Cricetulus griseus: one gene and its partners. The protein of the gene in region 1 binds, or shares a complex with, the protein of each later gene. Links are inferred from orthologs where the notes say so. Each region holds a gene or a part of one and is shown in the gene's direction. Other genes may lie near its edges.

Region 1 (4,163 bases):
TCAAAATGGGCTGGGGCTCAAGCCCAGGATGTTTGCAAGCAGTATGTTCTGCAAGCATCCCACCAACTGACCTACAACTGCAGCTTTCAGAAGCACTTACTTCCAGAGAGTTTTTATTAGAGAATTATTCGACTAGTTCAAACATTCGTGTTACATATGTTATTTATTCCAAGAGATTTGAAATTCAACATGTTTTAGTTAACTCTTGAAAGGACTTCATTTATTCAATATTGGTGGCCACTAAGTCATGAATGGGAAGTAGGTGGGTGACACAGGAGAGGACACAAGGCCTCAGAGCCTCCACCACAGCCTAAGCAGAAGCAACACCAATAATTTTTAGAGGCAGGGCTTCTCTGTCACCACCGCCTGGCTAAGAATTTTTTCTTTTTTAGTTTTTGAGACAAGGCCTCACTGTGTAGCCCTGACTGTCCTGGGACTCGTTCTGTACACCAGGCTGGGCTCAAACTCTCAGAGATCCACCTGCCTCTGCCTCCCAAGTGCTGGGATTAAAGGCGTGCGTTACATACTTGACAAACACTTTTTTAAAAAAATAATTTATTTAAATTCATTTTTTGTGCATTGGTGTTCATCTCCTGAAACTGGAGTTGTAGACAGTTGTGAGCTGCCATGTGGGTGCTGGGAATTAATTGAACTCAGGTTCTCTGGAAGAGCAGCCAATGCTCTTAACCACTGAGCCATCTCTCCAGCCCCCTGACAAACATTTCTTAAGCAGACAAAAACGCACATTTTTCTTTGATGCTCGTGGAAAAAATACACGCCATCGTTTGTCCCCAGCTATTGCCATTCCGGATCTCACAGGCTCGCAGTCCATAAACTCTGGAAGGGTGGGATGGCTGATGGGGCGGGCATTTTTTTCTTGGACGTCCGACGTCACTGGAGGGAACCTGTGACGTCTGGCCGTGAGCGACGGCGGCGCGACGGTGAAGGCCAGTCCCCGGGCTGTCGCGCCGCTCCCAGGCCGGCTTCTGTGGCGCGGCGAGAGCCGAAGAGCCGTTAAGAAGCGCCCAGCTCGCGTCACGCACACCTTCGCAAACCTACGCCGACGCGCTTCCTCGAGGCCCCGCCCACTCCCCCCCCCCGCAGTTCGGGGGCGGGCTGGAGGAGGCGGGGCCCAGGAGGAGCAAGCGCATGCGCTCTCGCGATCCGGCCGCTGAAGGGTGGGGGGAGGGAGAGGACTAGCGATCTCGCGAGGGTTGAGAGCGGGTGGCGTAGGCGGCTGTCCCGGTGGTTGGAGAAGAGAACCTACGCGGGGCGAGGAGAAGGCGCCCGGACGCCGCGCAGAACCTTTCGCTTTCCTTTCCCCTGCCCTCAGCCCTCGGTCTCCCCGGAGTCAGCCCGCCCTCCCTGACCTCCGTGACCCCGCTGGCCCCGCCCACCCTCGTCGACGTGATTCCCGCCGTGAAGTCAACGCCGGCGGAGTGGAGCGGAGCCGGGTCCCGCGGAAGAGGAGGTCGGGGCGAGCTCCGCGGCAGGGCCGGCTCGGGTCGGTGGCGGAGCCGCCGCGCGTGAGAACTTCCGGCCGGGGCTCGCTCCTCGGTCGGCCCGGGCGCCAGAGTCGAGCAGGCAGGCCGGCCGGCCCAGGCCGCTTCGCTTCCCTCCGCGCCGCGCCTGCCCGTGGCCGCGGCGGGTGACGCAGCCGGAACATGTCGTCGTCGTCGGCGGCCGAGCCTCCGCCGCCCCCGCCTCCCGAGAGCGCGCCTCCCAAGGCCGCGGCCGCGGGCGCCGGCGGGAGCAGCAGCAGCAGCAGCGGCGGCGGCGGCAACAAAGGCGGCCCCGAGGCCGTGGCGGCGCCTGCGGCTCCATCGTGTGCGGGGGGCGCGGGCCCCGCGGACGCCGACATGGAGGTGAGCACGGCGGGCGGGCGTGCGCGCAGGGAGGGAAGGAGGGAGGGAGATGGATGCTCGCTTGCCCGCTCGCTGGCGCTGAGTCTGCCTCCCTCACCTCTGCGTTTCCCTCCGCGTAGTAGCCTAGGCGGCTCGCCGACCGCTCTTAGGAAACACATGTTCCTGATTACCGTGGTCGAGGGACCCGGTTTCCCCCAGCGTTAGACGCCCTCAGAAGGGCTCTGTTTCCCCCGGATCTGGGTTTTAGTTTGCACTAAACTTTGGGGAAGGGCGAGGGAGCTGGCCCCTTCGCCGTGGAATTCACGGGGCGAGCGCGACGTTTGTCAGCGTCGCACGCAGCCGGGGACTTTGGGCCTCCAGTGCCCCATCCCGGTGCTGGCGGGGGCGGCATCTGTCTGTCGTGGGCAGAAACAATGGCGAGAGCTGGAGGGCCGAATGCGCAGTGGGGATGAGCGGGGCGCAGCTGCCTCTGCAGCAAGGGGAGGCCCCTCCCGAGCCCCGCTCTACCGGGAGGAGAGCGAGCGAGCGAGCCAGCGTGACAGCCGCAGCACCTGTCCCGGATCCCCATCTAATTAGGGGTTGGTGGACGGACGGATGAATGAATGAATGGGAGCATCGGGGGAGGGCGGTGGGCTACTAGCCCAGCGAATTACCTCCTGTTAAAGCCATTCAGACAATTCGCCGTTGAACCACCATCTGGGACTCGAGTGGGCCAGATGATGATGACAATGCTGGAAATGGGGGAGAGGGTGGAAAAATGGGGGAGTTGCCAGACAGGTCTCTTGGATATGCTCCCAGGCTTTGAGTTGCCTGGGAACAAAGATACTGCTTCTAGTTTTTATTCTTGGCCTTGGACTTGTTTTGTGCTGTTCTATAGTTCAGTCTGAGAATTTCTGCACTTATATTGGAATAATACTCTAAAGATGAACCTTGCTGCAGAATTTACACTATAAGGAAATGATGGTGCAGTTGCATCACTTGGATGAAATAATGTGTTGCTAGTCTTTGAAATCACTTTTAGTGTGTGTGGGGGGTGTTAGTGTAGTGCATCAATTTGAAGTGAAGTTTCATTTTAAAATGTATTTGATGCCAGGCAGTGGTGGGCACACCTTTGATCCCAGCACTCCGAAGGCAGAGGCGAGCGGATTTCTGAGTTCGAGGCCAGCCCGGTTTACAGAGTGAATTCCAGTACAGCCAGGGCTACAAAGAGAAACCCTATCTACAAAAACAAAAAATGTATTTATGCCCCTTAAATAAGATTTTAAGTGGTCTTTTGAACTTGTAGAGTTGTTTAACTGGATTGTTGGATTTCTGCTTGAAGTCTGGACACCAAAAACATTGAAGGAAATTATTTGTAAATGTACAATTCACCCCAGAGAGATGCACTTGCTTGCCTAAGCTTTGCAGATTCTGCTCTGCGGTAACTTGAGTCACACATTTCCACAATAGGTGTCATTTCTATTTACAAGTCCTAAAGAGAACTTAAAACCCAAATGAAATTAATTTTTGAGTTTCTGTCTTTCAATTAAAATTTAAATATAGGCATGAATAAGATAACACCTACGATATGAAATAAGTGGTATTTTCGTTCATCAGAGGAGAAAACTGCGTCTTCTGGATAGAGCATGTGACAGAAGTGTGATCTGTTTCCATAATAAGCCTTTTCCACACATCTTGGCCTGTCATTTTTTTAAGTTTGACGATTTTACATATTGAAAAATATCAATAGTTTGTTTTTCTCAGTCGTATTCACTCATTTTCTTTTCTATTAATGTTGTAGTTAATTTTATTGTCTTTTTAAGACTATTACCTTCAGTCTGCTTTCCACTGTGTTAGCTGAATGTAGAATTAGAATTAAGTTTGAGTTTTGGACACTTGCCTAATGTATCTGATGACCTTAAGTAGTTTTTGCAGTTAGAAAAAGAAGACACTAAATTATGAAAGTAATGTCTGCAGTTGGAAAGCACATATTATTGTAGGGTGTGCTTTACCTCTAATGTGTGCTGACAGGGATTTTGTAAGTTAAACTAGGTTGGAGGTTTTGTATTTCCTTGTAGCATTTAAATGTCAGGACGAATGCATTTTTTTTTTGTTTTGTTTTGTTTTGTTTTGTTTTTCGAGACAGGGTTTCTCTGTGTAGCTTTGAAGCCTATCTTGGCACTTGCTCTGGAGACCAGGCTGGCCTCAAACTCACAGAGACCGGCCTGCCTCTGCCTCCCGAGTGCTGGGATTAAAGGCGTTTTTTTTTAGATTTTATCTATCTATTATGTATATATATAATATATATATATTATATAT
Region 2 (3,649 bases), about 55 Mb from region 1:
CTAAGTCATCAATCATACAAAATATACAACTAGGAGTTGTGAACTCATATTCAGTATGATATGCATGTTAATTCATTCTTTAGATCATTGTTGGTTGATGTTGTAAGCAATCTGCATATTTCTGAGAAAATTAAGCAAAGAAAGAGCTGCTGCTTTTACAAGTCTGGGGAAGATTCAGTAAACATACAGTTATCTCTTCCTCTCAGGAGTTGGCCGAGGAAAAGATATCTCCACCATCACAGGTCACCGTGGGAAAGACATCTCTACTATTTTGGATGAAGAACGAAAGGAAAATAAAAGGCCTCAGAGGGCAGCTGCTGCGCGCAGGAAGAAACGCCGGCGACTTAATGATCTTGATAGTGATAGCAACCTAGATGAGGAAGAGAGTGAGGATGAATTCAAGATCAGTGACGGGTATGTGGCCTGCCTCAAGACCCATTCTTTTTTTTGTTGTTGTTTTTTTTTTCCGAGACAGGGTTTCTCTGTGGCTTTGGAGGCTGTCCTGGAACTAGCTCTTGTAGACCAGGCTGGTCTCAAACTCACAGAGATCTACCTGCTTCTGCCTCCCGAGTGCTGGGATTAAAGGCGTGTGCCACCACCACCCGGCAGGCAAGACCCATTCTTTAGGTGCCAGCTTACACAGAGCCAGGTTCTGAGAGAGCCTTGGTTGAACTATGTTATGGCTTTTATTCTTCGTGTACATGGACAATCTGTATTTTTCAGGACATTTAAAGCAGATCTGAGATTACTTGTTTTGATTCATTTTAGATTAAAATTAAAGCTACGTTTATGGTGGTTTAATATTTAATATTACATTTAAATTTGATTAACTGTAATTGAAATTTTATTTGTTGAAATCTTTCTCTATACTACCTTTTGCTACCCAATTCATCAGTGGAGTTTAATAAAGTCTGGTAAATTGTAAAGGAGTAAGTAATTACTGTCTTCTGGTGCACTGTAGAGGTTTGGTAAGGGGTAACTAATCCAGTATTAGGTTAGGACGGCTTCTATGCAAAACAAGTATAAACTACTGCAAGAGTTTCTCCTTTTGACTCAGTAGTACATGTAGTAGGAAGTCTATAAAACACAGAAAAGTTACTCAGCACTGCCTGCCTCTGTAATTTAGGTAAAATAAAGTTAGGGTATATAGGGTATAGCCTTAGATGTGTCCATCTAAGGTAGTCAAGGAAACCTCACAGTAAGAAGTAATGTTAGCATCAACATGTACGGAATAAGTATTTTGAACAGCTGTATGAGTTTAGAGGCAGGGTAAGAAAAGAAAGCAACCTGAACAAAGACGCCAATGTTCAAATGTCAAGGAATAGTTAGAAAATTCCCTGAAAAGCAAGAATATGGAAATGATGGAGCTGGAGAAATGGCTCAGAGGTTAAGAGCACAACTGTTCTTCCAGAGGTTCTTGAGTTCCTTTCCCAGAAACCACATGGTGATTCACAACCATCTGTAATGAGATCTGGTGCCCTCTTCTGTTGTGCAAGCATACACACAGGCAGAATACTGCATACAAAATAAATAAATCTTTAAAAAAAAAAGAAAGAAACAGAGAAGTTGAGTATGGGGATGAAATAGAGAATGCTCTGGTAGAGCTGCAACCAGAACATAAAAAAGAACAATTATGGAGTGGGTTTTTTGTTTTGTTTTGGTTTGGTTTGGTTTTTCAAGACAAGGTTTCTCAGTGGCTTTTTAGAGGCTGTCCTGGAACTAGCTCTTGCAGACTACTCGAACTCACAGAGATCTGCTTGCCTCTGCCTCCCGAGTGCTAGGATTAAAGGTGTGCACCACCAATGCCTGGCTGGGGTGGGTCTTTTCTATTTTTCTTCTTTTATCATGCATACAAATTTGAACTTGTCCTGAAAATGTTTTTAATAAAAATACCCAAAGGGTTATGGTGTGAGGTTAAAAGAGGAGTCAGGATACATACCATATGTCTCTGGATTGGGTTATTGATGGGTGAATGATTCTCAATACCAGATAGCAACTACAGGTGTTTGCCACCAAAGTCTGGCAACCTTATTTCAATCTTTTGAAACCTTGTACAGGTGGAAGGATAAAACCTACTCTACAATGTTGGCTGATATCCACATGCAAGTACAAGTACCCCATTCCTCCCCATAAGAAGAAGACAGGTTTTTTGTATTCAAAAATTTAAATATCAGGCTGGTAGATAGAAGAGGAGAAATAATGAGCATTTTGGGGTATGTTGGATTTAAGATGCATCCCAAAGAGGACAGTGACAGAAGTTGTCTATGAAATTTAGAATCACGTTTTTATTTTTAAATAAGGTATTATTGACAACAGAGAACAGTAGCATCTTTTTAAAAAACATTTTTTAGATTTATTTATTTATGTATTTATTTATTATGTATACAGCATCTGTCTGTATGCTTGCAGGCCAGAAGAGGGTGCCAGATCTCATTACAGATGATTGTGAGCCACCATGTGGTTGCTGGGAATTGAACTCAGGACCTCTGGAAGAACATCCAATGCCCTTAACTTCCGAGCCATCTCTCCAGCCCCTCAGCATCAGTTTATCTTTGTGGCTTTTACAAAGAGGATAGGTGATAGGATATTCGTTTTATAGACAGAAGTTGACATAATTTTCTAAATGTGTCTTTAAATATTACTTAACGTTTCACTGGAATATTACTTAACAGTTTGTGTTTGGAACTATGAAAAACTGATTATCACTTCCAACTGTACCATTACAAAACAAACAGAGCACCATCATGACATATGTGGCTTTTCCTGCACAGATCTCAGGATGAGTTTGTTGTGTCTGATGAAAACCCAGATGAAAGTGAAGAAGATCCACCATCTAATGAGGACAGTGACACGGACTTCTGCAGCCGAAGACTGAGGAGGCATCCTTCTAGGCCAATGAGACAAAGCAGGCGTTTGCGGAGAAAGACTCCAAAGAAAAAGTATTCTGATGATGATGAAGAGGAAGAAGAATCTGAGGAGAATAGTAGAGACTCTGGTAAAAATGCCTTCTGTCTGTATCAGAGCAACTCAGTTGCTTCCTGTGGCTTCTGGAATTCCAAGGTGTCAGAATTATATTCAGCTGTGACTTAGGCATCCTGATGAGACTCTAGAGTCATTTTCTTATGATTTACTAGTCACTTTTTTCATACAGAGCACATCTGAGAAAATTCATATAAATTAATGTGTTACCTTCATGCCAACTCTTTGAGAATGTTAAATTATGATATTGAGAATGTTAAATATGATAAATCGTTCCGGTTCCAAGTATTTCTGAGAATATTTTGAGATGTTGCAGCGTGAATACCAGAACCAATTAACCCACCAGGGCTTCTTAAACTTTCCACTCACAACCTTTTATTCCTGAGAAGCTTTTACACAACTTCCAGTACTTAAGTATATGAAGTAGGTAATAGAAGTCAAACATTGAATCAATCATAAAATTATTAAAATATTTCTCTCTCTCTCTCTCTCTCTCTCTCTCTCTCTCTCTCTCTCTCTCTCTCTCTCGTTTGTTTTTTTGAGACAGGGTTTCTCTATGTAGCTTTGGAGCCTATCCTGGCTCTCCCTCTGTAGACCAGGCTGGTCTTGAACTCAGAGATCCACCTGTCTCTGCCTTCTGAGTGCTGGGATTAAAGGCATGCACCACCAA
Region 3 (3,649 bases), about 110 Mb from region 1:
TTGGAATACTTAAAAATTATTTGCTTTTTAAAAAATAAGTCATTCACTTTTACACCTACCTAAGGAACAATTATGGTAACTTGGTAGGTGGAAATACATTTAGATTCAAACTTTCCAAAGAACCAACTAAAGTTTGCAGAATTTTTAAAATGTTAATGGCAAATACTTTTCAGTTTAGTTTAATAAATCATTATTTTAACTTGGAAGATGGATTTGAAAATAAAGGCTCTATCTTCAAATTTTTTTATTTGTATATTATTGGATAGTAGCATTAACAATAACAAAAACATTTTCAGGTGTCCTCATTAAAGAAGAATGTGGGTCAGTTCAGTGGCTTTCCATTTGAAAAAGGCAGTACCCAGTACAAAAAGAAGGAAGAAATGCTGAAAAAGTAAGTTATGTTTGTCAATATTGTGATAGGTTGATAATGCTATAAACTTACCGTTAATATTTAAAAATAACTACCTGTTCATTTTTAGTACATTGCTAACTTTAATTTAGGTGCCAGGATTTGACAAGCCTTTCATAGCATCATTTTGGGTTATCTTTTATGTTCTAGTAAATAGTGACAGTTAAAATTATTGAAAACTCTTAAAATTTCATTTTCCAGAAGATATAAATAATCTTTCAGAGTTCATACAGTGTGAAGGAAATGTATTCCTGTTGCCTGCTGTTAGTTACTCTTTCTTCTTAATGTTTTAAATTTGCTTTGAAAATAATTTCTTTGAAAAATTGTCATTTTACATAATGAAAGCAAAGTGACAAACTTTTAGAACTTTTATTTATTAGATGCCTATAGATGAAGAATTTAAATAAAAATGATTAGGTCTTCATTGAGACATTGTAATGCTGAATCATTAACCTAAACAATTTTCAAGTCCATGAGTTTTGTAGTATTAGAAAGTTACATAATTTTCCAGTGACTTTACTTAAACTGTTGGTAAATACACATTTTCTCATGGTTGTACACTAGTCAGGTGATTAAGAGTAAACTACAGGGAAATACTTGTAACTGTTAAGGAGACAAAGCAGACCAATTTTGCTGGCTGTTGACTTTCTGTCATGAAGAATATTTACGAATCTTGTGTAGTTACCCTTTTTCCCCCTGCTTTCTGTTTCAGGTTTAGAAATGCCATGCTAAAGAGCATCTGTGAGGTTCTTGATTTAGAGAGATCAGGTGTGAACAGTGAACTAGTGAAGAGGATCTTGAATTTCTTAATGCATCCAAAGCCTTCTGGCAAAGTAAGGATCTGTTTTTTACTATTTCAGTAAGTTGGTTATTAACAGCCTTTCCTTTCTTTCTCTTACTGAAATGGTAATCTAACAAGATAATTGTTTTGTGAGTCAGTGATGTCATCTGCATTTTAAATATGCCTTTCATTGACAACTGCAATATTTTCATAATATAAATTAAATAGTATATTGTTCTTCAAATGTGAGTTGTACAAGATTAAGAAAAGTAATTGGGTGGTGGTTGCCCATGCCTTTAATTCCAGTACTTAGGAGGCAGAAGCAGGCGGATCTCAGAGTTCCAGGATAGCGAGGGCTATTATACAGAGAACCTTGTCTCAAAGAAGAAGAAGAAGAAGAAGAAAAGTAGCTGGTGGTGATACACATCTTTGATCTCACTTTAATTCTAGCACTCTGAGGGCCGAGACAGGCAGGTCTCTGAGTTCAGGCCAGCCTGGCCTACAGAGCGAGTTCCAGGACAGTCAAGGCTACCCAGAGAAACCCGTTCTCAAAAAAAAAAAAAAAAAAAATAACAAGAGCACCTAAATGTCACATAAGATAAACCAGGGCTCCAGGCTTTTCTGTCTGGAAGGCACTGGAATAAGGGAAATAGGTTGAGGAAATAGTTATGTAGGACTGTTACATAGTTTTTAAATATTTGGAATTTAGCAAACTTCTTTTTTTTTTTTTTAAGACTTTATTTATTATGTATACAAATTCTGCTTCCATGTATATCTGCACACCAGAAGAGGGCACCAGATCTCATAATAGATGGTTGTGAGCCACCATGTGGTTGCTGGGAATTGAACTCAGGACCTCTGGAAGAGCAGTCAGTGCTCTTAACTTCTGAGCCATCTCTCCAGCCCTGCAGATACTCTTAAGAAAGCATTTAAAAATAAATTCATTGGTTGATCAAATCTTTTTCCTCGTGTGATAAGAAATGCAGTTTAACTGAAAGCATAGAGCAAGATACCTATTTCTTGCCTCATTTCATAATTAACATCTATTGCATACTGAAGGTTGTTGTCACTGAGAACTTGGCATTACTGAAAGAGGTGGTACAGTTCTTTTTTTAAATTTAGGGTATATAATTGCTGGTTAAGCTTTATTTTCTCTTCGTAGTTCCTTCCACTCCTTTGATTAAAGCAAGAATCTCCTAGTTATGGAATCTTTAGTGCTTATAAAAATGGAATATATTAAGTCTAATTTCAAATATTGTCTTGATCAAATGTAAACACTACCTGAACTCATTACAATTCATACTTGTAGTCTTGTCTTCAGAACCAACAGTACCTTTTGCAATGATCTTGCCAGGGGTTTACAAGACAGTTAAGAATACTGCTAATGCAGTTTTAGGTAGCCTGACAGATTTAAAGATGACTTCTCTGCTGAGCCTGTAATTACTTTCTGACAGAATTTGAGTTGATAAGTAATTATCAAATGGAGTTGATTAACTTAGAAATACCCTTATTGATGGTACTGTTAATACATTTTTTGGTTTGTTTTTTTTTTTTTTTTTATACATACAGCCATTGCCAAAATCCAAAAAATCTTCAAGCAAAGGTAGTAAAAAGGAACGGAACAGTTCTGGAACAACAAGGAAGTCAAAGCAAACCAAATGTCCTGAAATTTTGTCAGATGAATCTAGTAGTGATGAAGATGAGAAGAAAAATAAGGAAGAGTCTTCAGAAGATGAAGAGAAAGAAAGTGAAGAGGAGGTAAAACATATTTTTAACTATTATTTTCTATCAGATAAATATTCTTTCTATATAAATAAGCAAATAGTTGGCTGTTGGTTCATTTTATTTTATTTTGAGACAGGGTTTTACTTTGTAGCCCTGGCTATCCTGGAACTCACTGTGCAGACCAGGTTAGCCTCAAACTCACAGAGATCCACCCGTTTATGCCTTCCTAGTGCTGTGATCAAAGGCATGCCCCACCAGCAATGTCAGTTCAATTTCATTGTGAAGCTACATAAATGATTGAGCAGGCTTATATCCCACCAAACATTAAAGTTTAAAAATAGTTGAGTTTGTGACCTAGATTTGAAGTGCACCTTGAGCTGGCTTTCCTCATCTAGAGGAGGGAAATGGGAAAGGAAGCAGCAAAATTGTACACTTTTCTGAACAGAAACACTGAGGAGCATAGTCTTTCTTTTCTTAGTATTTTATGTATGGGTCTTTTGTCTCCAAGTATGTCTTTGCACTGCATGCATTCCTAGTACCCACGGCAGCCAGAAGGGCACATCAGAATTGCCTGAAACTGGAGTTATATATGACTGTATGCTGCCACCTTATGGGTGCTAGGAATTAAATTTGGATCCTTTGTTAAAGCACCCAGTGCTCTTAACCACTGAGCCATCTCTCCAGCCCATGGGAGCACATTCTTGAGGTTTTTTCATAGTATATTAATATTTTAT

What was found. Proteins that work in one complex are often made in the same cells at the same time.
Region 2: Smarca5 (region 1) and Rsf1 share a complex: the UniProt entries of both Homo sapiens proteins name them as parts of the RSF-5 ISWI chromatin-remodeling complex. The link is inferred for Cricetulus griseus from reciprocal best matches to the Homo sapiens genes SMARCA5 and RSF1.
Region 3: Smarca5 (region 1) and Dek share a complex: the UniProt entries of both Homo sapiens proteins name them as parts of the B-WICH complex. The link is inferred for Cricetulus griseus from reciprocal best matches to the Homo sapiens genes SMARCA5 and DEK.

The regions. Positions count from the first base shown.
Region 1 is NC_048596.1:156,511,566-156,515,728, reverse strand, and holds the start of Smarca5 (SWI/SNF-related matrix-associated actin-dependent regulator of chromatin subfamily A member 5), read left to right. Parts: upstream 1-1,254; 5' UTR 1,255-1,664; coding exon 1,665-1,865; intron 1,866-4,163. UniProt on the Homo sapiens protein: ATPase that possesses intrinsic ATP-dependent nucleosome-remodeling activity.
Region 2 is NC_048596.1:101,817,126-101,820,774, reverse strand, and holds part of Rsf1 (remodeling and spacing factor 1), read left to right. Parts: intron 1-206; coding exon 207-414; intron 415-2,267; exon of another isoform or gene 2,268-2,771; coding exon 2,772-2,995; exon of another isoform or gene 2,996-3,158; intron 3,159-3,649. UniProt on the Homo sapiens protein: Regulatory subunit of the ATP-dependent RSF-1 and RSF-5 ISWI chromatin-remodeling complexes, which form ordered nucleosome arrays on chromatin and facilitate access to DNA during DNA-templated processes such as DNA replication, transcription, and repair.
Region 3 is NC_048596.1:266,810,400-266,814,048, reverse strand, and holds part of Dek (protein DEK), read left to right. Parts: intron 1-296; coding exon 297-391; intron 392-1,121; coding exon 1,122-1,242; intron 1,243-2,759; coding exon 2,760-2,948; intron 2,949-3,649. UniProt on the Homo sapiens protein: Involved in chromatin organization.